Linked DNA regions of Struthio camelus. The main gene of each other region encodes a partner of the protein of the gene in region 4 in a complex. Links are inferred from orthologs where the notes say so. Each region holds a gene or a part of one and is shown on either strand. Other genes may lie near its edges.

Evidence for each region.
Region 1: ALYREF (region 4) and EIF4A3 share a complex: the UniProt entries of both Homo sapiens proteins name them as parts of the ALYREF/THOC4-EJC-RNA complex. The link is inferred for Struthio camelus from reciprocal best matches to the Homo sapiens genes ALYREF and EIF4A3.
Region 2: ALYREF (region 4) and THOC5 share a complex: the UniProt entries of both Homo sapiens proteins name them as parts of the transcription/export (TREX) complex. The link is inferred for Struthio camelus from reciprocal best matches to the Homo sapiens genes ALYREF and THOC5.
Region 3: ALYREF (region 4) and THOC1 share a complex: the UniProt entries of both Homo sapiens proteins name them as parts of the transcription/export (TREX) complex. The link is inferred for Struthio camelus from reciprocal best matches to the Homo sapiens genes ALYREF and THOC1.

The regions. Positions count from the first base shown.
Region 1 is NC_090944.1:139,884,965-139,892,557, forward strand, and holds the start of EIF4A3 (eukaryotic initiation factor 4A-III), read right to left. Parts: upstream 3,017-7,593; 5' UTR 2,859-3,016; coding exon 2,687-2,858; intron 2,355-2,686; coding exon 2,282-2,354; intron 1,291-2,281; coding exon 1,224-1,290; intron 168-1,223; coding exon 105-167; intron 1-104. UniProt on the Homo sapiens protein: ATP-dependent RNA helicase. Involved in pre-mRNA splicing as component of the spliceosome. Core component of the splicing-dependent multiprotein exon junction complex (EJC) deposited at splice junctions on mRNAs.
Region 2 is NC_090958.1:5,143,053-5,150,266, forward strand, and holds the start of THOC5 (THO complex subunit 5 homolog), read left to right. Parts: upstream 1-4,205; 5' UTR 4,206-5,412; intron 5,413-6,204; 5' UTR 6,205-6,231; coding exon 6,232-6,327; intron 6,328-6,942; coding exon 6,943-7,086; intron 7,087-7,214. Other genes in the region: NIPSNAP1 (protein NipSnap homolog 1), read left to right, coding at 345-418, 1,626-1,774, 1,958-2,003, 2,291-2,385, 2,636-2,706, 2,793-2,933, 3,017-3,048, 3,254-3,348 and 2 more. UniProt on the Homo sapiens protein: Component of the THO subcomplex of the TREX complex which is thought to couple mRNA transcription, processing and nuclear export, and which specifically associates with spliced mRNA and not with unspliced pre-mRNA.
Region 3 is NC_090943.1:120,102,852-120,110,485, reverse strand, and holds the start of THOC1 (THO complex subunit 1), read right to left. Parts: upstream 3,013-7,634; 5' UTR 2,813-3,012; coding exon 2,720-2,812; intron 491-2,719; coding exon 417-490; intron 312-416; coding exon 251-311; intron 1-250. UniProt on the Homo sapiens protein: Component of the THO subcomplex of the TREX complex which is thought to couple mRNA transcription, processing and nuclear export, and which specifically associates with spliced mRNA and not with unspliced pre-mRNA.
Region 4 is NC_090960.1:401,422-409,052, reverse strand, and holds the start of ALYREF (THO complex subunit 4), read right to left. Parts: upstream 3,012-7,631; 5' UTR 2,992-3,011; coding exon 2,761-2,991; intron 2,494-2,760; coding exon 2,362-2,493; intron 1-2,361. Other genes in the region: ANAPC11 (anaphase-promoting complex subunit 11), read left to right, coding at 3,220-3,328, 3,587-3,732; NPB (neuropeptide B), read left to right, coding at 4,343-4,561, 5,032-5,160. UniProt on the Homo sapiens protein: Functions as an mRNA export adapter; component of the transcription/export (TREX) complex which is thought to couple mRNA transcription, processing and nuclear export, and specifically associates with spliced mRNA and not with unspliced pre-mRNA.

The DNA.
Region 1 (7,593 bases), on a different chromosome or scaffold from region 4:
TGGCTCTACTAGGGACTACCTAAGAATTGACCCCAGGCCTTACGCGTGCTTTACAGACAAAGAATGGGAAATCCAAAGGTACAGTTCATTTTAAATGCTCCTACCTTCTGAATCTGTACAGCCAACTCCCGAGTTGGGGCTAAGATCAATGCCTGGGTCTCGCGAACCTGATTAAAACAGCTCAGTTAATCACATGGCCATGGCTGATCAAGCTCAACCGAGATTACAGATCCTACAGTGCTCCACAATGTCACGTTTGAAGGATTAATTACAGAGTTCTGTGCTAAAACCTACTGCTTGGAAGGGTCAGTTCACCTAGAAAGCTGCTCCCACACAAAGCGTTTACACAGGAACAGCTGCTTATGTAAGTTACTTTTGACAAGATGCAGTTCTTCATTTCATCACCTCATTTTTCATTCCAACCTCGTTTCTGAAAACAATTATAAAAGCGAGTGTGCTTTTCTTGTAAAAGAATAAAAACAAATTTTCAAGTGACTTAACTTTCATACTTTCAACTCAGGCAAAAAAGCTTTGCATTGTTCAAGGATGCCAAGACAATGTTTTAAAGTATCATATTTGCGAAATATTTTGAGCGCTTTACAGAGAGGAGGTGAAAAGCTGACCTCTCCATTCAGAACAGGGAGCTAATAATTATGTCCCCAAGCAATACCAAGTGAATGACAAAGCTTAATTTAAGGGACTACTGGTCCACAGAAAATCATGCTAATGTTCAAGTGCACCTATATAATAAGTTGTATTTCAAAAACATTTGGGCGAACAAAATACTCCTGACTAGAACAAAAATGAACATCCGTCAGGCAAAAATCTGGCTCGACTCTGTGCAATATGTGCCACCTGTTCGTGGACAGGTTGATGATGATGTTAGGACTGTTTGAGGACAACTGTCTGCTGGAAGATTAATTTAGCCATCTAATGCTGTCAATAAAAGCATCTGGAAAAGATTAGCTGTTAAAAGGCAGCTTTATAATTGCAAGATTTTATCTGAACTTTTTATTCTGTCAAGGTGGGTTTAACAGTTAAATCCTGACAGCAACAGAGCGTGATGAAATTTTCAGTCAGAATTTTGGCCGAAGGTCACTGCCCATAATTAAAAGATTTCAGTTTAAAGCTTCATTCCTTCACTCTAGCCAAATGAAGGCTTTTATAATGAAAATGCCAGTGATCTACTTTAAAAATTCTTTTAACATGTGCTGCGAAGTCACCTGTATATCTAGGCACTGCAGAACAGAGATGGAGAACGTTGCTGTCTTCCCCGTTCCAGACTGTGACCTGAGAAAGAGGTGTTTGGTAAATACTTTTTCTTCTGAACAGCTAATAGAGGCAATTTCAACATACATCTCTCACCCCTCTGCCCAAAGGTAGCTTTCTGCCATTTGTTCATTGCAAAGAAGTGAATATTGCAAACAACAACTTGCTAAGACAAGTTCGACTGGTAAGAAAAACAGCTTTAAGAAATGTAATCTCAGGGCTAGAGTACTCTCTACTGCAGGGTCCCAGCACTGTCACGTTTACCCCTTACTGCACCAGCATTTCAACTTTCTGCAATTTGCCTTGCAAGATTTTCTTTTCTTTTAAAGTAAAGCAGTAGATATGCTACAATTCAGAAGGCTATTGATTTCCACCAGTGACTGAGAAAATTTTTTTTTCAATTGGATGTATACCCTTTGTTTCCGGAGACAAATACAAGATCGTTTCTACTTACTTCTTTTCCCTTGACGAGAGACCGCACGTGTCTCTGTACTTCTCTAGCTTTGCTGGAAACCACTCCCAAGAGTCTCAGACCCCCGTTTATTCAGAACACACAGCATCTTGGCTGAATGTTTATCACAGTGGCACATCTAGAACATCACCCACTTGGGTTGGCTAGATATTACCAGCGCTGTCAGGAACACTGTCTGCATGTCGGGTGGCCTGTTTCACCCTACAGCGTTTACGATGTGATTTCCCCCGTCCTCTGCCACGTCAAGCAACGGCTGGGAAACGCCATCGACGCACCTCACCTCCAGCTGCGGGCACGGACCGTCACCGGTGCTCGCAGCGCTGACCACGCCAGCTCCGAGCAGAGCCGCGTGCAGCGCCAGCTCCTCCCGACGGTGGGCGGTTCATCTGGCGTCCAGCACCCTCAACTCACTGCACATCTTTTTGGGCAACCCCCCCCCCCCAGCTTCATAAAGACAAACAGGTGGGTATTTCCGAAGCCTTTGGAGATCGGAGCCCGGCTCTGTGCACTGGGGGGGGGGGGGGGGGGGGCTCCACTTACTGTGCGATCACGTCCCGCCCTTTGATGATCTGCTTGATTGCTCTCTGCTGGATGGCCGACGGCTTCTCGAAACCTGCCAGCAGCGGGAGGAAAGGGCGGTGAGGCAGGGCGGCCAGGGACACCCCGGTCCCCCCCCGCCACGCCCCCTCCGCCTCCAGACCACGCCCATCCGATGGTGGCCACGCCCCCAACCCAGACCACGCCCCCCCCTCCGCCTCAAGCCCCCACCTGGGAACGCTGCGTGCGCCGCCGCTCCAGCGCGCATGCGCGCGCCGCCCCAACATCCGGGCGCCGCCGCCGCCCGCCCCTCCCCCTCCCCGCGCGCCTCCAGCCCCCTCCCCCCGCCGCCGCCGCCGCCGCGCTCCCGGTTCTTCCCCTCCCCCCCACCGCCGCACCGGGCCGCACCGTAGGCGTAGATGCCGCGCAGCAGGTCCTCGCGCAGGCCCATGGTGTCGAAGGTGGGCGTCACGTCCACCTCCTCGCTCGTCTCGAACTCCACCTTGGTCATGTCCTCCTCTTTCATGAGCCGCTTCCGCGCCGAGCCGGTCGCGCCGCCGGACCCCGCCGACCCCGACATCGTTGTTGAGGCCCGTTCCTCGCCGCCGCCGCCGTCTCCCCCCTCCCTTCCCCCCCGCGCGCACGCAGCGGCACCGGCACAACCGCCGCCACGCACGGAGGGCCCGGCCTGGCGCGCATGCGCCACCGCGGGGGTGGGACGGGCGGGACGGGCGGCGCGCATGCGCGGCGGGGCGGCGCGGGCGGCAGGTAGGAGCCGCGCGAGGCGGCCCGGGCCGGTCCGGTTGGGTCCGGTTCTGTCCGGTTTGGTGCGGGCGGCGGCGGCTCCGTCTAGTCGTCGTGTAGGCAGGGGCGTGGTGGGGCTGCGTTTCTGCTGCTGCTGACTGAAATATTTTACCGATTAAGGCTGAGCGTTTGCTTTGTTGGTGGTTTTTTTTTTTTTAATTGTTATTATTTTTAGCGGCAGGACTCCCGCTCGCTGTAACGGCCCGGAAGAGCTGTTCTCCTCTCCTCTCCTCTCCCAGCATGAGCTCTGGATGAGCGCTCTGAGCCCGCTTAAGGAAAACAAAAAATGCCCCCGAATGGAGCTGTCAATCAGTGTTTACACACCTAAATTAAAAAAAAAAAATTACTTAGGCCAGGTGTCTCCCGAAGGTGCTGAGCGCCCGGCGCGTCGTAGCCCTCGGTCAGGCTCTTGGCGCAGAGAGATTTCCCCGGCCAGGAATCGGCAGTTACCGTGGAAACCCCAAGCAGCCGTGCTCCCGGCGAGGAAATAAAAACGGGCCTTTTTCCCAGCCTGGTTTGTTTTCATTTGCGTTGCTTTGGCCATTCGTACCCCAAAACGCATTGAAAGAGGCTTCCAGCCGACGCGTACCCTGCAAAGAGTTGGCCGGCGGCTGAGAGGCCGGGGCTGGAGCGGCGAAGGCGTCGGTGGCTTGTGAGCTCGTGAGGTGACGGCCAGCGTCAAAGAGTGATGAAAATACCTCCGCTCTGCGCCGGCCGTTTGGGAAAAATCCTGCCTCTCTGAGGCGCTCCGAGAGAAACGCTGCGGTCGGACGGCTTGCGTTGCCTGCGTGCTTTTGCCATCTCTCGTTCGTGGAGGCACTGCAGGTAGCGCGGGGGCTCGCCCTTGTTTCAAAAGCGGTATTTCAGAAGGTGCCTGCATGTGGGACCCGCTTTGCCCATGCGCACCCTGGCGTCCTGCCCCAGACCCAGCAGCACCCCGAGCAACGTGCGGGTGGAGGACGGGCTGGCTCTCAGCCCCCGTATCACCCCCGTGCAAGCCCAGGGGTGTCAAACAAGGGAAAAGAAAGAGATTTGTAGAGGAAGCTGAGAGAAGCCAAGAGCAAAGCGTGCTTTGCTTTGCCTGGCTCCAGCCCTGTCCCTGCCGTTCCTCTGCCCGTGTCCTGCAGGCAGCAGGGGTCCCGTTTTGACAGAGCTGGGTCTCCAGGTTTGCTTCTGGGGCAGAGGGTTTGGATCTGGGCGTGCTGCACCCCACGTCTTCCGTTCCTGTCTGGGATTTCAGCAAGATTTACATCTTCCATCTTCTTTTCCCCTTTTTCTCCTCCTTCAGCAGTGATTTTTCTTTTTCATCCTCGTCCTCTTTCCACCAGTCTAGACAGCTGCTTGGCTGATCTCTGAACAAACCCTTCAGCTCTCACGGGGGAAGGTTCTCTCCTACTTGGCAGGACGGTCGTTGAGTCCTGAGCTAGAATTCCATTTGACGTGCCGAAACAGAGCTGTCATGGAAAAATGGGTGTTTCCAGGCCCAGCATGTCTGAGGGTGCCTGGGGTGCACCAGGTGAACGTGGGTCGGTACCGCTTCAGTTGCGAGCGGACACGGTTGTGAGGAACTGGACCCTTGAGGAGTGACAGCAGGTTTGGGGTGCGTGACCCACGCCCCGGGGCAGAGAGCGGCTGACGTTCTTTTCTCTTTCTTTTTACAGAGCCCGAAGGCGAACGAAGCGGGTGAAAGCGGTAAAGGCCCTGGCAACGTGGTGGGAAGGCTGTTTTCAGGACGGCAGACTCGTACCATGTTTTCACCTGGAAGCCTGACCTAGGCTGCAGCCCCTGCCGTGTGCCCAGCCCTTGCTTGGACGTGGCTGAGGCTCAAGTCCAGGCTCTCCGGGAGGCGCTTGGTGTGGGAGGCAAGGGATTCCTCGGCTGGTGCTGGTCTGCAAGAGCGTTTGGCTGAAGGAGCTCAGGAAGAAGGTGAGCAGGGGGGAAAGGCTGGGAGCCAGCCTGTTGCGAGAGGACTGGCAGGGGGATTTGCTGTGCATTGACTGCGTACAGTCGAAATGATGGTCCGAAGCAACCTTTGCATCCTGCAGAGCACAGGCACTGGTCCTCAGCCGGTGTACTCCAGCACAGCTTCATTTCCCTGGAGGCAGAGATAGCTTCCTCTGGAGAGGAGCTGCTCTGTAGTGGTGGGAAGGGAACTCTGAAGGCCTCTGGTCTAGTCCTCTTAACCGCAGCAGGGCCAGCTTCCAGGCTAGACCACGTTGCTCAGGGCTTGTCCAGTCAAGGTTTGAACATCTCCCAGGATGGAGACCGCACAGCCTTTCTGGACCTGTCTCAGGGATGCACTACACTCAGGTGGAAGAATTTTTTCCTTATGGCCAGTCAGGGTTTTCCTTGTTGCAGCTTGTGCCTGTTATATCTTGTCCTTTCGCTGTGCATCTGAGAAGATTCTGCCGTTTCCAAGATGAAAGGCTATGTCCAGGGTGAACGCACATCTCTTTGGGGTCCTGGGGTAGGCATGGGGGCCTTAATCCCTTCTCTCCCAGAACCGGAGCAGGGTTCAAATGGTTTTCATGCTTGTGTGGATCCACCACTGGGCTAGTGTTTCAGGCTTGGCGGAGAGGAGTTTGATTCTTTGTACGTGCATGGAAGAAGTGCAGTGTTAATTTTCAAAGAGGGTTTTTTAATTGTGTGTTCTGTTTGCACTGCAAAAAATAAAATGGGATTTCCTTTAAGAAGCTGGTTTGGATGCTTGCAGCTGTGTTTCTGAAGCTGGTAGGTTTCTCTTCTCTTGACCTCAGTCTTTAGGAACTCAAGGATTTATTCACTAAACTGGACAAGGATGGCAGAGTGAGCACTGAGGAGTTCCAGATTGGCTTTTTCAGCCATGCAACGCTCTCTTCCCGGGGTACACCAACGCCTCTCAAGCAGCCAAGGCTGTTAGCGCTTGACGAGATGAGTTTAAAGGAAGAAGGCTTTCCTTTAAAATTAAAGATCCTGGTTCAAGGCCTTGATCTGCAGTTGCTTGGAGGTGATTTCCATTAATTATCAGGATCCACAAGTTATTGCCAGTTCCTTATGCAGGACAGTGTGTAAGGGCAGTGTGACACAAACGTCCTGCAGAGAATCCAGACAGAAATCCAGCTGTCATGCCTGGGAAGGTTTCTCTGTCCTTTTCCCCCCCAAAAAGGAGGCTGAACAATGGGGCTCTGCTGAGAGTGATTCAGGCCAAGATGTTTCGTTTCACGAGGGGCTGATTTAAGAGCCGCTAATGGAGGTGACTTGGGCACCTGAGGGCAGTGATTTGGGGACAGTTTTCCACTTGCCGGGCAGTTCCTGGGGATGGTCTGGACTTCACCGCTGTACGGTAAGTAAACGACTCCTTCCAGAGCTGTCTGAGTAGTTAAAACCCTGTGCAGGTGGATCGGGATGATAATACAGAATAACGCAGCGCTGCCAAGCCTCTTTTTTTTACTGGAGAGAGAGGAATGCACTTCATGGCAGAGGGGAAAAATGACCGCAATTCTAACATGGGCTTCAGAAGTGCTGACATCTCTGCACCTTTCCTGACTAAGGTTGTCCCCCGTTTAGTGCACAGAGCAAACTTCATCCTGCTTTAACTGATGTAAAATATTTCTCTCTGCTTAGTGCTTTTAATCCCAGGGACTGTCAAGGTGTTTGCAAATGCTTTAGAAGTAACTGCAACTTCAGTGCGTTAAGGCAGAAGTGAATAGCTGATTCCCCCAGCAGCCAGAGGAGCTCCGTCCAGGATCCTGGGCAAAACTACTCTTTTAAAAAAAAAAAAAAAAAAAAAAAAGACTAACACAAAGCGTTTCAGGCTCTTTTGGCTTACAACTTTGAGGTAAGTGTTGAGTGAGGCAAGGCATCCAAACTTGGTGTGAAATTGGTACTCTTGGAGATGTTACCAGTTGTGCATGGGGTCTCTGGCAATTGGGTGCTGCTCTTTGGGTCAGTTTGGCTGAATCGCGCTTGCCTCTGAAGTAGGCAGAGTTAAGCTGCCTCCAGCCCAATTTTAGCTCCTAGATCAAACAAAAAGTTGTCTGGCAGTCCTAGTCTGATGTTTTTCACAAGACCATCTGATACTATATAACTTCCAGTGTTAGTGTTTCTGTGGATGCCGAGTTTTCTGGGTTGTTAGGGAGATCAGACTGCTTTACCGCTTGCTCCTTTTGGCTGCCTGAGGGACAGTTCAGGACATCTCACCTCCTGGCAGCTTGGTGTTATTTGTAGAGCTTTCTCCAGTATCTGTGGGGTGCCTGCAGCCTCTTTTTAGTATTGAAAGATTCCGGGTTTTCTCTGCTAGTTTTGCCCTGCTGACTGCTCTCTGTTTTCTTTCCAGGCATTTGTTGGATGGGCAGGGAAGCAGCTTGTCCTTCCCGCTAAGCTGTGTGGGCCCACACCTCTGCTCCAGCAACGGCACTGGATTTGCCAAGTCTGAGCTTGTCGCTGCTGTTTGGCCCCAGGAAGTGGTGCAGAGCCAAGGAGATCCTCAGGGTCTCTAGTGCTGCCTTGTCTGGCGGCAGTGAGTGAAGCAA
Region 2 (7,214 bases), on a different chromosome or scaffold from region 4:
GGTGCCCTGGTTGATCAGGCTGCAGCAGAGCAGGGCGTCGCAGCCAATGAGGCGCCGCCATCTTCGCCTAGCTCCTCTGATTGGGTGTTGCCATGTGACCGAGGTGAACGGCCTCTGCCCAGCTCGTGCCCCTGGCCGCGCTCTGGGACCCCCCCGCCCCCGGCAGCCAATAGGGCCGGCCCTGGGGCGTAGCCACGACAGCATTGGGGTGGGCGTGGCAAAGCCCGGCCCAGTACGACAGCCAATCAGAGTCGCCGCTGGAGAGGGTGTGTGGCCGGCGCGTAGCCACGCCCCTGTGCCGAGGGAGGGGTGGGTGGCCGCCGCGCGTGGCCCCGTTGCGCGGGATGATGGCGGCGGTGCGGGTGGCCAGGAGCGCGGCGCGGTGGCTGCGGGCGGGCGGCGGCGGCGGCGCAGCGCGGTGAGAGGCGGCGCCGGGACCCGGCACCGGGACCCGCCCCGACCCCGGGGACCCGCCTCTGCCCTCAGTCCCGGGCACCGGGGTCCAGCCTTGCCCCCTCAGCCCTGGTCTCTGTCCCCTTCTTCCCCCTTCCCTCAGTCCCCCATCCCTTGTGCCCTCCTCCCCTTGTCCCTCTGTCCCCTTGGTCCCCCTTTCCCCCATCCCTCTGTCCCCCCGTCCCCTTGTCCCTCCATCCCCCATCCCTCTGGCCCGCCATCCCCCCGGTCCCCTTGTCCCCCCATCCCTGCCCTCCACCCCTGCCACCCCCGCCTCACGTCCCCATCCCCTCCGTCCCCAGGCCCCCCTCACACGGGGCTGCCCCACGCTGGCTCCCCGCCCCAGGACATGTCCCTGTGTCCCTGCGCCAGGACACACGCAGCCACGGCCGGCCTGGCAGCACCCCGTGCTGCAGAGGGGGGTTGTTTACCCTGCCCCCCCCCCCCACCCCGTGGTTAATGTGTTACCAGCTGCCGTGCAGCGGGCCAAGGTCCGGCCGATGACACGGCATCCCCGAGGAGGCTGGCGCAGGGCAAGCCTCCCCTGCGTGCCACCGCCCCACCGTGGCCCCCCCCAGCGCTGCCTCCCCGAGCCTGCAGGCAGCCCGGCGGGTGCCACCGCCGGTGCCCCCGGTGTGGCGCAGGGGCCTACGCCCTCGCGTGATACCCAGGAGCCTCTGCCCTCGTGTGACACCCAGCCACGCTGCCACGAGTGTCCCTCGCCCTGGGGAGGCTCTTCCCCGTGGGTTGCCCGTGCCCTGAGTGCCTGGTGGGCTGCCCATGCCGGAGCGGGACGAAAGCGGGTGCCAGGGAGCCTCCTCCTTCACAGGGCCCCAGTGACACGTGTGCTAGTGGCACACGCGCGTCCTGGCTCCGACGGCAACATGCCACCAGCAGCCTCAGACAGGCCAAAAAAACCCAAAATCCAGCGCTGGGGGAGCTGCTCCCTGGTTCCGAGCGCAGCTCTCCTGCAAGGCTCTGGACAAGGCATTTTCGCGCCTCAGTTTCCCTCTTTGCAACACAAAACGAATGAAACCAGCCTCCCACAAAGCCCTGTGAGCCAGCCAGTGCTGTCTGTGAGCGGATGCTGCTGGCTGCCTGCAGACTCAGGAAGGCAGAACTGCAAGCAAAACTCCCTCCTCGTTCTTATCGTAACCGATGTCGCCCCCCAGGGTGACACCGGCGTCTCGCAGGGGCTACGCGGGGACGACCGAGGGCAGCTGGCTGCGCTCACTCTTCGTGCACAAGGTGGATCCCCGCAAGGATGCTCACTCCAACCTCCTGGCCAAGAAGGAGACCAGCAACCTCTACAAGATCCAGTGTGAGAGGCGCCGGGGGCAGGCAGGGCCAGGGGCACCTCGGCACAGCTCCGCGGCACCTCCGCACCCCGTTATTTGGCCGTTTGCCCCATTTCTGTCCCCAGCTCAGTGGCTGCTCTCCACTTGGGGCAGCTCCTCCCCGGGCCTCAGCTCCTGCTCTCACCCTCTCGCCCTCTCTCCCACAGTTCACAACGTGAAGCCCGAGTGTCTGGACACCTACAACAGCCTGACGTGAGCCTCCCGTGCGGGTCAGGGTCACCCAGCGTCCCTGCAGGGAGCACCCAGGGGGCTACTGAGGCTGGTGCAGGGCTGGGGGAGCTCACACCGAGCTGCTTCAGGAGCCCCCGGCAGGTTTCTTATTCTGGGCCTCAGTTTTCCTTCCTGTGAAATGGGTGCAGGGAGCTTCCCGCAGGGGTGAGGCCAGGTTGCGTTGGGATGCAGCCCCTGGCTGCCGCCTGCCATCTCCTGGGCGTCCCCTGGGGCACAAGGGTCCCCTGCAATCCCCCATGTCCCCGCAGGGAGGAGGCGCTGCCCAAGCTGCACGCGGACGCCGACTACCCCTGCACGCTGGTGGGCAGCTGGAACACGTGGTATGGCGAGCAGGACCAGGCAGGTCAGTGCGGCAGCATCCCTGCAGCGGGGGCACAGCAGCACTGGGGCCTCGGCGGCCTCCCGCCCTCAGGGAAGGGCCGTGTGGGCAAGGGAGGGTACAATTTTGGGGGGGAAAGTGGCAAAACAGAGCTTTGAGAGGGTGCTGCTGGGAGCTATGCACGGCTCTGTCCTGGTATCACCCGGCCGCCCGGGAGCGAGTGCTGGCGGGTCCCTGGGCTCGGTGGCACCCCATAGGTGCCTTGTCCTTGCAGTGCACCTCTGGCGCTTCTCCGGCGGGTACCCGGCACTCACCGAGTGCATGAACAAGCTGAAGCAGAACCAGGTAGCACTCAGGGCGGCACCGTGCCGGGGTGGGGGGGACACTGGCGTGTCCCTGGGCATCCCCATGGCCATCCGGGCTCCCCGCAGGAGTACGAGGCCTTCCGGCGCGAGCGTAGCAAGCTGCTGCTGGCCCGTCGCAACCAGCTGCTGCTCGAGTTCAGCTTCTGGAACGAGCCCCTGCCCCGGCCTGGGCCCCACGTCTACGAGCTGAGGACCTACAAACTCAAGGCGAGTGGCCCCACGCGGTGCCGGGGGCAGGGGTGCAGGGAGCCACCCGCTCAAACGTTGCTGGTTTGCTTCTCCCTTTCCAGCCGGGGACCATGATCGAGTGGGGCAATAACTGGTAAGGAGACAGCCTGGTCTCTGCCTCAGTTTCCCCCCTGCCCCAGGCACTGCCTCAGTTTCCCAGCTGGTCCCGTCCTTGGGGGCCGTCCTCCACTCCCTCGTTCCCTGCACAGTCCCTGGGGCTGTGGACAGAGGAGGAGGAGGAGGAGGAAGAGGAAGGCTTCTGGCACCCCACAGCAGTTCTTTCCCCCCACCCCGGCCAGGGCTCGGGCCATTAAGTACCGGCAGGAGAACCAGGAGGCCGTGGGTGGCTTTTTCTCCCAGATCGGCGAGCTCTACGTTGTGCACCACCTCTGGGGTAAGTGGGCACCCAGGGGCACCCGTGGGTGCTGGGTGCTTCTGCGCCAGTGTGAGATGCTCTGTGTTGTTGCCCCCCCCAACCTCGCTCCCTGCAGCATACCGGGACCTGCAGTCACGCGAGGAGACGAGGAACGCGGCATGGCGCAAGAGTGGCTGGGATGAGAACGTCTACTACACGGGTGAGCGTGGCGGCAGGGGCACCCATGGGTGCTCAGTGTCAGGGGTCACCCGCGGTGACGTCCCCCCGCCGCCACTGGCTTTGCAGTGCCGCTGATCCGCAGCATGGAGTCGCGCATCATGATCCCCCTGCGCATCTCGCCCCTGCAGTGAGCCGGCACCTCAGCACCGTGTCGCCTTCCGTGCCCCTGGGGCACGCCGGGGTCCCCGCAGGGCACCCAGATCCCCTACCTGCCCTGAGCACCTACTTGGGGTAGCCCATGGGGATGGGAGCTGGGGGCGCCCCTGCTTTCCTCTGGGGGCTCGGCACCATGTCACCTCCTGTCCCCCTTGTCCTGATCGTCCCCCAAGGCTCACTGGGGCAGGGCCAGGGTCCCGCGTGGCACCCAGCTCCCCTCGTCCCCGGAGCACCCATTGGGGACCCCTTGCAGGGACAGAGCCAGGGACACACCTCAGGGTCAGGAGCTGGGGACACCCCCCATGGGGGACGGGAGCCAGGGACACCCCACAGGGGACAGGAGCTGGGGATCCGCCATGGGGACGGGCCCTGGGGACACCGCATGCAGGACAGGAGCCGGGGACACCCCATGGGTGCTCCCACTCTGGGGTCTCCCCCCTGCAGGGTGTCCCTGGCACCCACCGCTGTCCCTGGGGTGGGAGCACCCATCTCTGCGACCCCAGGAGGTGACAGTGGTGTCAGGAGGTGACAGCAGTGGCCATGCACTGCCAGTCCTCTGCTCCCGCTGCTGCTGGGAGCCCCAAGTTCTTTGGAGGACAGTGTTAATTAGCACTAATGAGCCCCGGGCCATGGCCGGGCCCCGGGGGCTGCACCCATTAAACATTCGATGTGCCCATGGGTGGCCCTGTCTGCGAGTGGGGGGCCGGGGTGCGTCCCAGGGGGGTCAGCAGTGACGAGTCCCACCGGGGCCGCTCCCATGCGCACAGGTGTCCCCTGCACCACTGGGGACCCCCCACCCTGTGGTCCTCAACCTCAACAAGGTGCACCTTCATGCCCGTAGGTGCCCCCCATGCCGATGGGTGCCCTTCCTACACCAGGGCCCCCCTCCCATGTCTGTGGGTGTCCCCCAATGCCAATGTGCCCCCCACCCCAAGGAGCCTCCCAGTGGCCATGGATGCCCCCATACATCAAACCCCCCCTATGCCCATGGGTGCCCCCCAAAGCCAATGGGAGTCACCATGCCCAAGGGTGTCCCCCTGCACAAAGGCCCCTCCCATGCACTTGGGTGTCCGTCATTGCTAATGGGCCTCCCCCCACCCCAGGGAGCGCCCTGATGCCCATGGGTGCCCCCCATTCACAAGGCCCCCCCATGCCCATTTGTGTCCCCCAGTGCCAAGGGGGACCCTCACTCCAAGGGCCCCCCCATGCCCAAGGGTGCCCTCACCCACCAGTGGACCCCTATACACCAAGGGGTGCCCCCCAATGCCAAGGGGGACCCCCACCCATGCCTGTGGGTGTCCCCCATACATCAGGGCCCCCCTCATGCCCATAGGGACTCCCAAAGCCAATGGGACCCCTACCCCAAGGAGCCCCCATGCCCATGGGTGCCCCCCACACACACCAAGAGGACCCCCATGTCTAAGGGGCTCCCCTGCACCAAGAGGCCCCTAATGAGCCCCCTCAGCTCCCCGCCTCAAATCCGCTGGTGCCTCCAAGGGGCACCGACCTCCGGGGCTGGAGGTGGGGCGACTATAAGCCCCGCCCCTTTGGGCCAGACCCGCCCCTCGGCCGGGCCCCGCCCCCCTCGGCCCGCGCTCCTCCCGGCGGGCCTTGCCCGCTAGAGGGCGCCTCTGGCGGCTGCCGCTCTGCGCCGCGCTCGTCTGCTCCGTGACGTCACATCCGGGCGGCGCTGAGAGGGGCTGACCGGTGAGCGCGGGGGGCCGCGGCCGAGCGGGTCTGCGGCGGGAGGGGGCTTCGCCGGGGGCAGCTGGGGCGGGGGAGTGTTGGCGAGCCGGGCCTGGGCCCGGTCAGTTGGGGGGGAGGCGCTGAGGCCCGGCGGGGGAGGTCCTGGGGGACCCAGTGCGCTGGAGACCGAGGGGGACCTAGGGCCTGGTGGGCAGTCCTCCGTGAGTTGGGGGCTGGGTTGGGGCAGGGAGGAAGCTGCGAGGCTCCGTGATTTCGGGGTCCAGCAGGGGCCCAGGAGAGCTGCGGCAGGGGGGAGCCCGAGGCCCAGCGGGGTGGGGAACAGGGGACCGGGAGAGCTGGGGTGGGCGGGAGGCCACGGGGCCTGCTGAGTTGGAGGCTGTGAGGGAGCCAGGGCTCGGTAGGTTGAGGGCTGGGAAAGCCAAGGAGAACTGCAGTTGGGGGTGAGAGGCTGTGGGGATCAGTGGGTTGGGTGTCTGGAAGAGTTGGCAGGGGGGAGGCCCTTGTGCCTGGTGGGTTGGGGGATGGCAGTGGGCCAGGAGAGTTGGGGTAGAGGGCAGACCCTGGAGCTCAGCAGGTTGGGGGTCTGGTGGGGGGCAGACACCAGGGCGCGGTGGGTTGTAGAGCTGGAAGAGGGCAGAGCCTGGTGCCTAGCCTGTCGTGGGGCAGGGGGAGGGCCTAATTTATCGGAGATTGTCAGAGTTTGAGATGGGCCTGGCAGACAGGAGCCTGGGGGGCCCCATTCTGGGTGCCTCTGTCCCTCTTCACATGCTCACTTGGTTCTTTGTCCCCCAGCCCTGCCAGGCAGCTCCCGGCAGCACCATGTCATCAGATTCCAGCAAGAAGAGGAAGCCCAAAGTTATCCGCACCGATGGGGGCCCACAGGAGGGCAAGCGGGGCAAGGCCGACGCTGACCAGGTGGGGTGCCCCGCAGCCTCTCCTGGCGCCCCATGCGGGGAGGAGCTGCCTGCTTTCGCAAGGTGCTCCTGTCCTGCTGCATTATGAGAAGCTGATACCAAAACTTCCTTTTATTGGCCTCATTCCCCCACTCAGGCAGCTTGAGTGGGGTCAGAACCAGCCAAATCTGAACACCTGCAAGACTCCCACTCTCAGTTTCTGAGCGGGTTTTCTCCTCCTGGAGGAAACGCAATTCCCATGGAGTCAAATGTTGCCTTTTGGGACATAACAGGCAAGTCTGAGGCTGTCAGGTGTTTCAGGGATTTGCAGGTTGCCTTAAAACACTCCCACAAAGATCAGAATAACTTAGTTTTAGTCAAAGTGGAATTTAAGGTTGAAGAAGTAGGTGTGCAGCCTTGATAACAATCTGCGCTGGTGCAGGACAGATACTGGTCTTAATTTACAGTGATGATATAAGAGGCCTAAACTTTCCAGGCATTTGTGCCCCGGGTGGTTAAACGAGTCACTCTCCGCTGCGCAAGCCCCCTCGAGTGTGGGATGACTGGGCTGAGGCAGTGCTCAAGATCTGGTGGTTTATGTCCAGGGCACTTTAGGAGGTGTTTTTACCCCTTGCAGGATGCTCGGTACTACAGTGAGGAGGGTGAGGTGGATCTGCGTGACCCCATCAAAGACTACGAGCTCTACAAAGAGACCTGCCAGGAGCTGCAGAGACTCATGGCAGAAATCCAGGAGCTGAAGAGCAGAGGCATTAAGGACAACGTAAGGAGGAGCTGCAGTGCTTTTTCTGCATGTGCTTTCCTGTGATGTTTCTTCCTGACCCAAGAGGAGCAGGAGCCACACGGCATTCTGGGGAGAATTAGGAAAATGGGACAGTCTCTGTTAAATAA
Region 3 (7,634 bases), on a different chromosome or scaffold from region 4:
GCTGGAAAAGGCTAAGTCAGCATCTCTCAGCAGTGCGGCATCTGTAAAATTAGCAATTTCATCCTACCTACCAATCTTCTTTAATTGTCTATATTAAATCTTAATTATGTAATTTTTACATAGTTCATATTTTTTAATAAACACTATTTTCTACAACTCAGTTAAGTTGTTGTTAAATTACTATATGTTAACTTGCAAACAGAAGTTTCATTTACATCAACAGATGGCTCTAGCAGTGTGAAATACTTACTATTTCTTCTTCTACAATAACTCTAAAAGCTTGGTCCAAGGTGCACTTTTTTTCATTTTCACTGCAAATACAAAAATTCTACATTAGTTAATAACAACTATTAAAGAAAAGATTAGTAAAAATGATCTGAATAGCCACTTTTTAAAATCAAGTGGCAGCTACTTACCTCCCAGGAATCTGGTTGAATGCATTCAACAAGGGTTTGATGGTTTTGTTATTCAGAGCCTCTCTAGTGGAAGTCTACCAAAAGGTGAAAAAAAAAATTACAAAACCGTTAGGCAACCAAAGTTACTCTGATGGATCACCTTCTTCCTTCATCTGACAGAAAGCAGAAATACTAAGGAATCTATTTGTGACATACCATGCATCGATTTACAAAAGAAAATATATTAACAACTTACCCATATTACCTAGTAGATTATCATACCTCAAATTAGGGCTAATGGTATGCAGAAAATAACACTTCCAAGTGAAATATAAAGGAGCATGCTATTATGGCTGATGCTGCACCTAGAACAGTTGAAAGGTCCATACACAAACTTTCACCTGCCAGACAGGCAACTCATGGTGGTTTAAAAACATTACTTCTGTTAGCAAGCTGGTCTAAAAATTCCCTGTAATGAAATCAATATAACGGAATAACTGCCTGTGCCTCAACTATTTCTGTACAAATCTCAACACCTTACTTTGAAAGTCCAATAAATTGCACCACCACTTGAGTACACATCCAGCTCAGTCTGCTCTAGTAAGGAAAAAGCATCATTCAGTCGAGGCGCAAAGGAGATAAGGGCGACAAGCTGTGGCATGTTTTACTGCAAACGTTGAGTTACATCAGATTTTGATTTAATTTTAAATTAATTTTAGCTAACTAAACCACGGATACTATTCTCATTTTAGCTCACCTAGTTAGGCTAAACTGGTACGAAAACTCCTGCCCAAAAATTTATACCACTGAGTTTAGCACTCATTACATGAAAACACAGTTTCCTCTTCAGAAAGATATCCCAGCTATAACGGGTTGCTACAGTACTTAGAACACAGCTGAAGTTTTGCCACAGGCCTACCGTGCCTAACACATGCTCTACTGGACTTAAGCATCATTCAGCTGCATCTGTTATAAACATTCGAATTTTTGTTCTGCTGTTAGCTGCTGCTGTGCAGACTTTTTGCAGATAGAGGATTCTTCTGTATGAAACTGATATTGATAAAAAACCTGGATATGCAACTAGGACAAGGTGAACTGAAACTAGGAGACTTTTACTGTCATATCATGCATAACCTGACAAGGCCTATCATGCATTAGCATGATAGCATAAACACAGGTTAATGGGAGTTAATGCTCACAAAGAACAGCACTAAGACGGTAAACTCACTCAAGAACAGGAAAGGGAAGAACCATCTGTCAAGATCCCCTCTCCCCCACCAGAGAGAACACAGCACTGGGCCACTGATTTGTTCAGTCTTAGTGAATCAGCAATCGGGTGCGGTAGGCAATGGTGTGAGGTATCAACTTGTATGTTACGTTATACAAAAGCATAGCAAAACTTAAGTTCATTAATATAGATTTCTAATGTCCTTTCTTCTGCCCTTTACATTTGTCTTGACCTCATAAAACTAGCACTCTTGTTGTCATAACATTACTACGTGCCTTTATAACACTGTGAATGCAGTGAAAGTTTTCTCTCTCTCTCCAGCTAGTCAAGTTTATCTCTTTGCATCAAAGACCAAAGAAGTAAAGTTTGTACACTTTCCTCCAACTTCCTTCATGCCAGCAAAAAAAAAAAATTGGCATACACGTCAAGTCAAACTCTCCCCTGCACTCCATTCAGGTCCATTCATGCAGAAGGGAGGGCAGGTGAGTTCAGCCTTCAACGTGGTACTTTCCTCCATCCAGCTGCACACCTGAGCCCCGAGCATCCGTTTAACCTGCCGCTGTCTCACTGCTGCTCCCCCTTTCCTCAACCCCTGTTCACTTGGGAAACCCAAACGAGCCCAGAAAACTCGCTGGGCACAGCCTCCCTTCTCCTCCCACGCTCATGACTCTACACTGGGACGCTGGGCAGCGCTGAGAGGCTCCTGGAGGGACTGCCAGACCCTTGGGAGACAGGAGGGAGCGTGGCGCGCGCCCCAGCGGGCCGTTGGAGGCGGGTAACGGCCGGCCGAGGGAGCGCGGCGGGCTCGGCGCGCGCCCCAGCGGGCCGTTGGAGGCGGGTAACGGCCGGCCGAGGGAGCGCGCGGGGCGACTGGCGGAGAAGGCGCGCGCCGCCTGCACACAGCCCGGCAAAGGCGGTGCGGTGCGGTGCGCGCGCCGAGGCGGAAAGAGAGGGGGAGGGGCGGCGCGCCGAGGCCGAGCGGCTACACCGTCGCGAAGCGGCCGGCCCTACCGCCCGGCCGGGCTCGGACCCGCTCCCGGATGGCGGGAGAAGGGGCGAGAAGCTCCGGCCGAGCCCGCGCCGCCGCCGCGCTCACCGTGAACCGGAGCCGAGCTTCGGGCAGGCTGAAGAGCGGCGGCGACATCGTCCCGGCCGTCCGACGCTCCCCGGCGCGCGCTGATGACGCCATCGTCCCCTTCCCCCCCCCAGCCGGCGAGAACCACGGCGAAGCCCCCGCTCCCGCCCACTCGTGACAGGGGTGGGGGGGCTGCCCGTGGTGGCGAGGCCGCGGGCGCCCGTGGGCGGTGCCGGCAGGTCACCCTCGCCTCACGCCTGACTTTAGCGTCATGAGGGTCCTGGCGTGGGCCGGCCGTGGGGGGGGGCGTGGCCGTGGGGGGCTGGCTTTGCTGTCGGGTGGGGCGGTGGGTTACGTCCCCTATGTGACTCGGCGCTTTTTTAAAAAGCATGCAGTCAAAGAATAGTTATGCAAAGAAGGAGAACGTTTCTGATAACCTGTATCACTCCAGAGTCAACACTTTCATCTGGTGAATGAGTCATTTCTGAGCGATCTCTATCTGGGTGAAAATAACCCTTACGTCTTCTGAGGAAGATACATGAATTTTAGGTTATTCGTTCTTCATTCTGAGGTGAAAAACAATTTAGGAACTTCCCCCCCCCAACACAAACTCTTCCTTTGTTGCTTCGTTTGAGTAATTAGGATCTCAAAGGAAGCGGAAAATATTATTGCACAAATTGGCATTATGATCATCATTAAGCATGCAAAATTAACATGGCCTGTAACAGTTTGTCACGTTATCCCAAAAGTTCTGCCACTTTATGCTGAAGGAAGCTGAAAATACCTGTTTCTGTACCTATTCGATCTATAAATGGACCTTAGTTGAGTATTCCTTCTGTCTTTTCCAGTGCTGGTGGGATCCTTAGAGCCCCGTGTAGCACTTGTAAGGAAGCTACTGGGTTTTGCAATCTGCCTGACATGTGAACAAGAGGGCAGTGAGTTGGTGTGTCTCCCACCATGCACTCCTGGGCCACATCCCATTTCAGCAGCATGTCAAGCTTCGCAGAGGCTGAATGTGTTACTGAACATCCCGTTAGTAGGATGTTGTCAAAATAAAAACAACTGTAAAAGGTTAACGTGCAGGGAAGGGGGTTTTCAGGTAATGAAGTTGTGTTACTTTTTCTAATAATGACATCAGAGTCACAATCTACCGTCACGTTCAAAGTATCGTTGAAGGAAGAGTAACATTAAATATAACTCAGAATTTTTTATGTCATTGGTAAAATTGCCTCAATGATAACTCATAGGTTGAACAATATTCTCCAGCTACATTTTTGAGAATCACTTTTAATGGGAGTTTACTGAGTGTTTCATAGGTAAATGTCTGAAATAGCCCTGCACAAATTAATAAATATTTATTTCGACATGTATCTTTTTCAGTGTGGCTCAATGCCTTTAAGTACTTTACATTTTCTAGCTATCCTAAGTAATGGTAGTTCCCAAGCTTGGCTGTTCACAATCCATTTCCAGGCTTGGGATCCCTCTCCCATTTGCATTTCCAGGCTCACAACTACTAGTTGGGAAACCTTGTTATGTGATATGCAGCCATAAAACCCTCCCAAATGTACTCCTATCTATCCTTTCTTAGGATGCCCAGGTGCACTTCAAAGCTAACTGGAGATACGGTTTTCTCCCATCACTTCTTGATCCTGCATTCTCTTCTGCTGGCAAAGCAGAAGCATCTGACTCCCCTTCCTGACAGAAAAAAACTTTGCTCGTACCAGTGCTGAAATTCCAAAAACAATCACTGTTATTAAATACCCAGATATTTGGCTGAGCCCACCAGCCCATCCTGGTGATAAATTTCAAGGTATGTGGCTAGCACTAAATAAACCAGTCTAAGTCTGTCTAGGCTGTCACAGTGTAGGCAAAATGCCTGCATTCCTGGATGTATGGCTACCCTTATATTTAAAGTCCTCAATACAGTGAATGCATGTTGCATCAAATGGATTTATTTGACCCTGAGAGTTAAAACTCTGTTCTTTAATGAAGGTAGGCTTCTTCCCCTTGTATGTAGAAACCCCTACTTCTATTTTGTTGGGAGGGGAGTGCTCGTCCGCCAGAAACCAGGGGGGCGCTGCCCCCACGAGTGAGTGGTCTCTCCATTCATACTGTGTCCTTTCTCAGCGCTCTTTCTCTAACCGTCCGCTACTGGTCACTGCTGGACCGCAGCTCCACAAGCAGCTGATCCATTGGTTTCTGACCACCGAAGGGAGAAGGCTGGCTCCCTTCTGTTGTACTCCACTGGAGATGATTCCTAAGGACACTAAACTCTGACCCTACGGGAATAGAGCTGAGGCCCAATTCAGGTCCTCCGATATTATCCCTTTCTGAAGAATTTACTGTAGCTCTGGCCAAAAATAGGTAGTGTCCGTAAGAAAGTATAGAACATCATGAAGAGTGCAATTTTGCCAGAAGTATTTCCATATCGCTTTTTTTTTTTTAATTGAGAAAATCAAACACGATTATATGATGGATTTAAATTTGAAAAACTCTGCTATCATTCTGTTTTTGGCTTTTATTTTTAAAAATCTCTCCCATCCTTCTTACCCTTCCATTCCTTTCTTTCTTTCCTCACAAAACACAAAAAATAATTTTAAATAACTGGAAGAAGAGGAAAAGGTTGTCTTACTTATTTGGAAACCTCCTCCCCCCTCTTCCCTCAGAATATATAATTGCGTGAAAGTTTGCCAGGAATTATCTAGTTTTCATATTGAAAATAGATTTAAAAACCCTTGCGGTTCTACTTTACAGTTAGAAATACAGGGAGCAATTGCAGTTGGTAAACAAAGGTGCCCGGTGCCATTACAGACATCCCAGGCTGTTGGAGACACCTACACAGGGCTGGCAGGTAGGAACTAGGGATCAGGAGACCTAGGTCCTTCTGAAGCAGCCATTGCAGGCCAGATGGGAGGCCACTTCCAAATCTAAAATGGCACTGGATGCAGTCTAAAATTGCATTCACAGAAAAAGCGGTGGGGTTCCTCTCACTGTCCTGCACATTATCCTTGTTGTCCTTTGTACTGAAGAAGAGATACTGGCTTAGACTCATTTCTAAGGCATGAGCCATCTCAGCCGAAGCTAAGTATCTAAAATCAGCCAGAGGAATAATACCTGACGAATACCCGTTTCTCTGCATGCATCAGAACACAAGCCCAGGTCACTTGCCCAAATTTAGACACCTAAGGTTAAGTGAGATGAATCCTATACAAAACACCTAGAAAAGATGCATAGATAATTGTCTTGCTGAAAAATGGGGTAGATATTTTCATTTTTCTGCACCCCTTCCCTCTTTTGCTGTCAAGAGAGGCTGAGATTGTCCTGATTCAAATACAAGTAAACTCATCCTGTAGTTTTTGTTAGCTAAATCTCATGGTAAGATTTCAGGTTGCTGTTATGGTCTCCTGGGAAGGCGGGAGGAGAACTTTATTTCTGTTGACATTTCCACCCTCAGCAGCGTACGAACAACTTGCAAAGGGCAGAGTTCCATAACAAATATATTTCCCCACACACAACTCCTACCAGTTTGAAAATAGGAAAAACATGTCAGCCGAACAATACCGAAGAAGTTCCCAGTGGAGTCAGAACACTGTTTTCAGCTAAGTTACAAGTGGTCGTTTGTTGAGCAAGAACATTGTTTTCAGCTGAGTTTCAAATAGTGATTTTTTTCTCCAAGAAGAGAAATATTGGCTATTTGTGTGCTCTTTTGCGTTGCTGGCTTGGTCTGCACTGCAGATAGCCAACCAGCCAATTGGTTTCATCTCCTTTTAACTCTCCTTCTTTAGTAGTCATTTATTTTCTGTTAAAACCCTAGGAGAGCTTGACGAATTCAGCTCAGAACTGAAGCCCTCCATATATTGCATCACCTGTTTTGCCATTTTGCAATAGCAAAACGTCAGGCTTTCAGTCAGGTGTGCTGCCTGAGGTATGACATGAGCAAGCAGCCCTTCTGCCAATGTCGGGCTCCTCACTTCAGTGTCTCCGCGGTTGTCTTCTGCTGTTGTCTCTGAATCCCTGAAGGGACCACGCTTTCTGGGAACGCCTCGGAGTTATTGCTTGCAGCTTTCCCATACATGCTTTGATTTCTAGTAGCCCGCTGCGAGCAAAAGTCCGCTCTGGAACCGCAGTCCTTTCTTACACGGAGCTTTGGGGGTTAAAGGCCTGCCTTTCCGCTGCCAGGCACCAGCAGGCCGCGATTAACCCTCGCTGCCTTGCTAAGAGAAGGGATCATTCATAGCTGCCGCTTAAGGCAGCTGGGTCAGCAGGTTGGCTCACCCACAGCCGCGCTGTGCCTGCGCTGGCCCGGCCGTTCCTGTCTGCGCTCCTGCTTTGCGGAGGCAGAGCAGACTGGGCTGGCACTGTGGGGGGCTATCGAGGTGTTTCTGCGGGGGGAAGGTGTCAGAGGAGAAGACTTTGCAATCAGCAAAGTTGCTTGTGAGGGGAGGGTCTGACAGAACTGGCAGAAGCACTAGAAAATGGTATGCCCCTGATGTTTTCCCTTTTTTGTGTGTGTGAAGGATCGTCGTGGCTTTAGCCTGCATTTTAATTCGGGAAACCTAAAGAAAGCCAAGCATATTGCCCCAGTGTGGTTTCCCCGTTCTCCTGGGTGTGCTATTTTATATCTGGCTGAAAAGCTCACGTTCTGCCAAACTCCTGTTTCCTCAGTAGTGAAAAATAAAAGACCCAATATCTTTTCCTTTTTGGAAGAGGCAAACAAGTACTAAAATTACATGTACTCTTATTTAAATTAAATATTAAAATAATCTCTCAAAGTATAGATAGCATTATGTTTTCCTGCTTGAGTAGCGTGGTTGCAGTTAGTTATTCTACCAGTGGAGGGAAGTGTTTGCACAGAAAACCTAGGTGCAAAGTCACAGCCGCTCGGTTTGGTGGCTGCAGTTTTGGCTTGTGGTTCAACTTCTGGCGCTGATGTCGC
Region 4 (7,631 bases):
GAATCTCTGAAAGAGCAAACATAAGCCCAACAGAAGAACTTCAGGAAGCGGCTACACACAGCAAAAGCAAGTAAGACACTACTTGCATACTTGGGTGTGTGCATACAGCCAGTGGAGCAGGGTCAAGGGGTGTTGACCTGCCGCTTCTGCCAGGGAAGCTGCACATCTTTGTGCCGAGACTACATGTACAGGGCTGCTATTCAAAAATAATCCAGACCCTAAACCATTTCACAGAGGAAGAATGATCTTTATTTCTATGAATGCAGTGATTCACAAGGTGATCATAGTTTCTATGTGCTGGACTTCTCTTATAAAATCTTTGCTAGACCAGTTACAGTTTAAAAAAACCAATCCTGTCATCTTGGAGCTTAAGAACATATCCCAAAAACTGAGCTTAGGAGGAGTCCTCTACTGAAGTATGCCCTCTTGTTACTCACTGTCTTGAAGGGTGGAAACGAGCAGAGGCAGCAAGAGAGCCACAAATTTTGTTTTGCGCGGGTGCTACTTTTGGTAAATCAACTAGGGACATCTCATAGCTTTGTAAGTTTCTATTATAGCTAGTGCCTCGAAAGCTCAAAATCTACACCAGAATTGTCGGATGTCCAAAGGGAGACTGCCTGCCACCTTTCATGTTATCCGCTGCAACGCCTGAACATTATTCCAATATTTCCAGTATTTGAAAAGAGCAACACAGATATTCTTTTACTTCCTAAGCAAACAGCACTCCAGGCAAGATTGCAGGCCAGCTTCTACCTTGTATTCATTTAACTGACGTGCACGTTAACACAACACTCTGTACAAGCCATCTGGAATACGGAGCAGCACACACAAAGAGCTGCTCAACAACGTCTTAAGGAACAGCCTCTCTCACTGTGCTACAGAAAACCCTGGTTCTCCATGAGCAGCAGTGGTGGGTCGGGGTATGACACTATATATGTCTTCTCCAAGAGCTTGTTTTAGGTTCCTTCCAGTCACCCATTCCTGGCAATACAACTCCCGGGCTACCTTGTACCTCATTAATGACCCGATTAGCATAAAAACAAGGAAACTAGCCAGCACAGGAAGTGCTAAATTATGAGGCAGTAGTAACAAATAGGTACAAGCCTGTTAAGTCAGCTTTGCTGCTAAATAAAACACACGTGGAACTTCATCAGCACCTATAGTCCAAAACAACAGCGAGAAAGACATACCCATCTGCCACACACACACACACACCCCTACAAAAACTAGTTGAACTGAAGCAACTTCACAGACTCACGTTTTATACATGAGGGCCTGACTACAGTAAACAAGGAACTTATTTCAACCAAAGCTAACTTTAAATAGGAAAAAAGAAGTGGCCTTAAGTGCATTACCCAAACAAACGTCAACTCGGTGACCTGAAAAAAACACTCGCTCTCAATTCTCCAGACGTAGCCAGCTTAACTTACAAGGTAGCTGAAACGAACTAACAGATGAAAAAGCGTTTATTTTCTGGCAGGAGGCACAGGGACCAAAAGCCAACTTAAAGTGAAGTGTTTTGCAGTGTAACCTAACTAGCACAGCCCCCTAGTGGGGATGCACCTTACATTTGCAAACGTTTGTGGCTGTACAGTTTACTGCCCATACATTACAGCACCCTTATAGCTAGGTGGGTCCACCAATTTCAATCTCCGTTCTGATCAATTCAGCCATAAAGACAAATCACACCATATACCTGACTTAAAGCATCTGGAAGATTTTTAACCAAAGCAGAGCTGAAACTACGACATGGCAACTCAGCTAGAAAATTGAACTACTGTAAGAAATACAAGGTAATTATAGATATCACAACGTAAGGGGGAATGTCCCCCCCGACAAATAAGCCTTCTTAATTTCACTGATCGATGCTGACATAGGAATACTTTCACGCTTAATAGAACGTGGCTTTAGAACAAAGAAACTATGTAAACAAGTCCCATAAAAACAAAGCAAATTGATGTACGTATAGTATAGTTACTGAATTCACAGGGAAATGCAACTTGTGTTTACATAGTTTATACAAAGTTCTCAAGCCACAGATGGATTCAGGCAAACACCAGTATATTTTCCCACACAAACATTCTTGCTAATGCTAATAGCCGCAGATCAGAAGAGGCCAGCAGCTTCTTTGAATTGCAGTTACCTTCACATCCTCAGAACAACTGCACAAGAAATACTCATGGCACAAATACAACCACAAACCTAGAGTTAAAGGATTTGGAGATCTCCCCTCTGGGCCACAGAAAGCAGCGGGACCTCAAGAGCTACAGCATCCCCAGGAAGCGCCCGAAGCAGATGCTATGAATGAATCCCCCCGCCAATGCCGGCCGCGCGCACGACGGGGCCGCCGGCGCCGCTCACCTGGATGTCCGCGTCCGAGACGCCGAAGTCGAGATTGGAGACGAGGAGCTTCCCGCCGGTCTCCACGCCGGCGCCCGCCCCGAAGCCGCTGTCGAACAGGTCGTGCTGCCACTTCTCGGGCAGCTGCTTCGGCTGCAACGAGACCGCCACCTCGCTGACCGGGGCCGGGCCGGGGCTCCCGCCGCCCGCCACGCGCCCCGGGGCCGCCGGCGCGAACAAAGGGCCGCCGGGCAGCCCGCCGCCGCCGCCGCCCCCCGCCACTGCCGCCCCCCGCCCGGCCCGGCCCGGCCCGGCCCGCCGCCGCCGCTGCCCCGGCCCAGCCCCCCGCCCGGCCCGCCGCCCCCGGCCCCGGCCCCGCGCGCGGCTGCGCCGCCGCCGCCGCCCCGCCCCGCTCCGTACCCGGCTGTAGGGCGCGGGCCGGTTCCTGCCGCCGCCCCGGGCCATCACCGGCCGGTTCCGCACGGGGCCGCCGCCGCCCGCTCGCCCGGCTCCCACAGCGCCCCGGCCGGGCCCGCCGCCGCGGGTGGCGCCTCCCCGGCCCCGGCCGCCCCGACCGCCCCGGCCGGCGCCCCGCTGGCTCCGGTTGAGCTTAATGATATCGTCCAGGGACATGTCCATCTTGTCGGCCATGATGGCGGCTCCGCTCCGGGGCCTGCACTTCCGGCCGCGCTGCGCCCACGCCGGAAGCGGAGGGGGCGGGGCTGGCGGCGAAGGCGCGGCAAGCCGCGCGCGCTGCCGCGCGGGGCCTTATGGGGCGGCGGCGGCTCCGGCGATGCGGCCGGGCAGGGGGCGGGACTTCCGGCGGGGAGGGGCGGGACTTCCGGCGGGGCGGGGCGGGGCGAGGCGAGGCGGGCGGCGATGCGGGTGAAGATCCGCGGCTGGAACGGCGTCGCCTCCTGGCTCTGGGTGGCCAACGACGAGAACTGCGGCATCTGCCGCATGGCCTTCAACGGCTGCTGCCCCGACTGTGAGTACCGCCGCGCCGCGACGTGACGTGACATGCCGTGGCGTGGCGTGTCGAGGCGTGACGTGGCGTGGCGTGTCGAGGCGTGACGTGGCGTGGCGTGTCGCGCCGCGCCGTGACGTGCCTCGCCGGGGTGTGATGTGATATGTTGCGGTGTAACGTGACGTGGCATGCCGTGACGTGACGTTGCATGTCGTGACGTGGCGTGGCATGTCGCGGCATGACGGGACGCGCCGTGACGCGCCGCGGTGTCTGTCCTAGGCAAGGTGCCCGGCGACGACTGCCCGCTGGTGTGGGGTCAGTGCTCGCACTGCTTCCACATGCACTGCATCCTCAAGTGGCTCCACTCGCAGCAGGTGCAGCAGCACTGCCCCATGTGCCGCCAGGAGTGGAAGTTCCGCGAGTGACGCCGCGCCCGGGCCCGGCCGCCGCCGGCAGAGCCGCCCTGGGGCTCGGGGCCGGGGCTCGGGGCCGGGGCTCGGCCCTGGGGCGGCTGCCGCCCCGCTGCGTGGCGCTGCGGTGACGGCCGGGCCCCAAGCTGCGACTTCCCTACCTGCGCTGCTGCCCGTAAACTCGCTGCTGTGATCTGCTTGTTCCAGCGTCCCTGGCGCCGCTGGGCTCTGGAGGGGCTCAGACCGCGGGCAGAGCCGCCGGCCCCCACGGCGGGGCAGGCAGGGGACGCGGGGTGCAGCCTGCGCCAGCCTGGGACCCCCGGGCGGACCCGGCTCCCCACGGGCTGGACGCGCTCCGAGCCTCCCCCCGGCAAAGCGCAGCCCAGCCGTGTCGGCGGGCGGGAGCCCTGCCTGGGGCAGGTGCCAGGACGCCCCAGCGAGCGGGGCCACTAATGAGCGGGGCCAGGTCGAGCAGCTCCTTCCCCGCGGGCAATGCCACCCCGGGGAGGCGGGCTGCTCGGCTGCGGCGGGGGAGGCGCAGAGGAGGTGGCATGTCACCCCCCCCCCAACCTGCCTATAAAGGCAGCAGCAGCAGCCCTGGAGCTGCTGCAGTCCTGCTGGCACCATGCACGCTGTCCGCTGGCTGGGGCTGGCCCTGGCCCTGGCCCTGGCCCTGCTGTGCCGCCCCGCTGCGCCTTGGTACAAGCAGGCGGCCGGACCCAGCTACTACTTGGTGGGCAGAGCCTCGGGGCTGCTCTCCGGCATCCGCCACTCGCCCTACATCCACCGCTCCGACCCCAACGGTGCTGCCGAGCACGGCCCCCGCGTGCAGCTGCACGCTGCGGTGAGTACCGGCGCCGCCGCGCGGAGCTCCGGGGCACGGTGGGCGCTGCGGCGGGGCGGCTCCCCGGGTCCTCTGTGGGGCTCTGCAGCACGGTAAGTACCGGGACCTCCGTCAGGGTCCTGGAGTGCCCCGTGGGGCTCCGCACCTTAGCGAGCATCCGGAACCGAGTCGTCTGCCTGTGGGGCACAGGGAGCTCCCATCCCCTGGCGAGGCTGCGGGCTGTGGCAGGTGCCAGGGTGCCCCAGCTCCCCTGGCAGGGCTCCAAGGTGTGGATACATACGGGGATGGGGAGCACCCCAGGGCTCCCAGGTGCCCCTGCCGCACTCTGAGCCCCATCGAGGACCAGGACTGGGGCCACCCGCCCGCGAGGCCCCGGGGCATGGAGGGCTCCCTAGCGCCCCCCCCCCCCGCCCCCACAGCGCCGCGCTCCCCAGAGACGCCAGTCCCACCGCTGACAGTCTCCCCTGCAGGTGCCGTGTGTGACAGATGTGTCCCCCAAGCTGCGGAGCTGCCAGGTGCTGCCCGGAGCCCCGGGTGCCCTCCAGTGCAAGGCGGACGTGACCGTATCCCTGGACCCCATGGAGTGCACGGATGTGTGAGCTGGCCCCAGCGCGACCTCACTGAGCCCGCAGTTCTGACAATAAATGCGCCTGGACTGGATCCATCTCCTGTGTCCTTGTGGTGGCATTGGGGGTAGCGGGGAGAGCTGCTGCTCTGTCACAGACGGTCTGTGGGGTGGGGGAGCACAACTGGGGTCTAGGATGCACCCGCCGCACCACGATCCAGGCGGAGCAGCACCAGCCTGCGGCTGTACCTCCTCTGGAGCGGCAGGAGCTTTAGCAGCCCCCCACCCCGTGCACAGGGGGATGGAACCAAGCCCAGGCCGCGAGGAGCCCTGGGACTGGCCGCAGGGCCTGGGGCACCGGAACAGCCCAAGGAGGTGTCCTGGTGAGACGGGTGCACCGGACTGGCGCGGCGCCTGCCCTGCCTGGGAACCAGCCCTGGGGCGCAGGGGACGCCTGAGCCTGGTGCGCTCCCATGCCCAGCACAGCTCATGCCAGCTGCTGCAGGCGCCAGCCAGCAGAGCAGCTACAGGGGACATATCTGCTGTAGCTGCTGAGCCCCTCGCTGCAGCAGGCGCCTGGTCACACAGGGAGGCCGGCTGCCCCCTGAGCCCAGCCCCAGAGCGGGGGCAGCACCCGACCTGGGCTGGGTGCTGTGCCCAGGGCCCCGAAGCCAGGGCTGCGAGGGCAGGGACACCCAGCTGGGACGGTGCCAGGGCTAACGGCAGCTGCAGGACGCGGCGTCGCAGTGGCCCAGCCGCCCCTGTGTCCCCCCCACCCCCCCGGCAGGAGCCAGGCTGGCGCAGGCATGTGGCAGCCAAGGGGCGGCAGGGAGGTGAGCTGGTCCCTGCCAGCCCCTGCGCAGGGGCCCCAGAGGGCTGGGGACCGGCATGAGCGGCTGGTGCCCTCCAGGCACCCACAGCAGCTTCGAGCCCCTCCATGGAAAATCATGTGCTGACTGTGACTGGCAAATTGATGTCCCTGCTCCCCACCCCCCCCAAAACCTGCACCCCGAGAGCTGCCATGCTCATCAGTGCCAGCGGCAGGGCACAGCCCAGGGTCCTGCGCAGGCAGGGCAGCAGCTGATACAACAGACATCGCTTGCGGTTGTCACTGACCAGCCTTTCCCCGGGCAGAGCCCACCCAGTCCCGTCCGTGCTCGCCACAGCGCACCTCCCGCCCCGGCAGCACCTGCGTGGTTGGGCAGCCCCCAGCCCCGGCGCCATGGCCATCCCCGCGCAGCGGCAGCCGAGCCAGGGTTCAATCCTCCACCGGCCCCGGGGGACCCTGCCCGGCACCACCCCACAGCGCAGCCCCTCGTGCCCACACTGCGCCCCACCGCCCCAGCTCCGGCACAGGGCCCCATGCACCCGGCCGTGCTCGTGGCAAGGAGCCGCCATCCCAACCCGCCCGCCCTGCGTGGCCCAGCCGGACGCTGCAGGAGGCCCAGGGGACACCAGGGACGGGGACAGGCGTCAGCGCAGATGCCCAGGCTGCGAGCGCCTGCCGGAGCCACCAGCACCTGCTGCTGAGCACAGCGCTGCGTCCCCGAGCTCGGGCACCTCCGCAGCGCTGGGCTGATCACCGCCGGGCCGCGGCGACGGGCGCAGCTTCCCCCTCCGCTCTCCTCGGGGGCCAAGCACTGCACAGGCCCCTTCCAGCCAGCAGCCACAACGTGCCGGTGCCACTTCCAGGCTGGGCAAGCGGCTCCTCCGCTGCCGCGTCCCTCGGGGCTGCGGGCGCACAGCCGGACACGGGGCTGCGTGCAGGGCGCGACGCTCTGCCAGGAGCCAGGTCCGGGCTCTGGCCGGGGCAGCAGGCGCCTGCATTGCCCTTTCCGTGGATCCCTGCAGGGCTGCAGCCAGGGCGAGTGCACAAGGCCACAGCTGCACCGGCACCTGGCTCATCCTGCAAGATTTAATTAAGGAGCCTGTTCCAACCCTTCCAGCAAATTAGAGCATCATCAGGTGTTGGCTGCGCTGTGCGGCACAGGGGAGGCTGCCGAGGCATCGGCTCAGCAACCAGACTCTGGAGCTTCTGCAGTTGCCGGGGGGGGAGGGGGGGGACATCAGTAAACAAAGTCACAAACTTGAAATTCATGAGCTTTTATCCTACTTTACTGTGTTAATCTTTGGCCCTTGGCGCTCACAGGATGTCAGTGAACACAAGCGTGGAAGGAGAAGGGCCCAGAGGCGCTTGGAGCGAGCAATAGCAAATGCAAAAGATTTCTGCTCAGAAAAGGCAGTAAGGCCACAAGGAACAACAGCTTCACCAGGCAAAATTTGCTCCATCTGATCAAGCGAAGCTGAAGTTTTCCAGGCAAACAAGTGATACCAGTGGGCAGGCACCTGAGCGCTGTGAGAGAAAAAATTAAATAGTTCTGTCATTTTTTAATAACAACTGTACCTGTTTGGGGCCCAGAGGCAGCTCCTTTACATAGAAATGCTCAGCCCAGGGTTGATTTGTCACTGTGGCCGAGTTGTTTGTTTTTAATTACGAACTCTGCT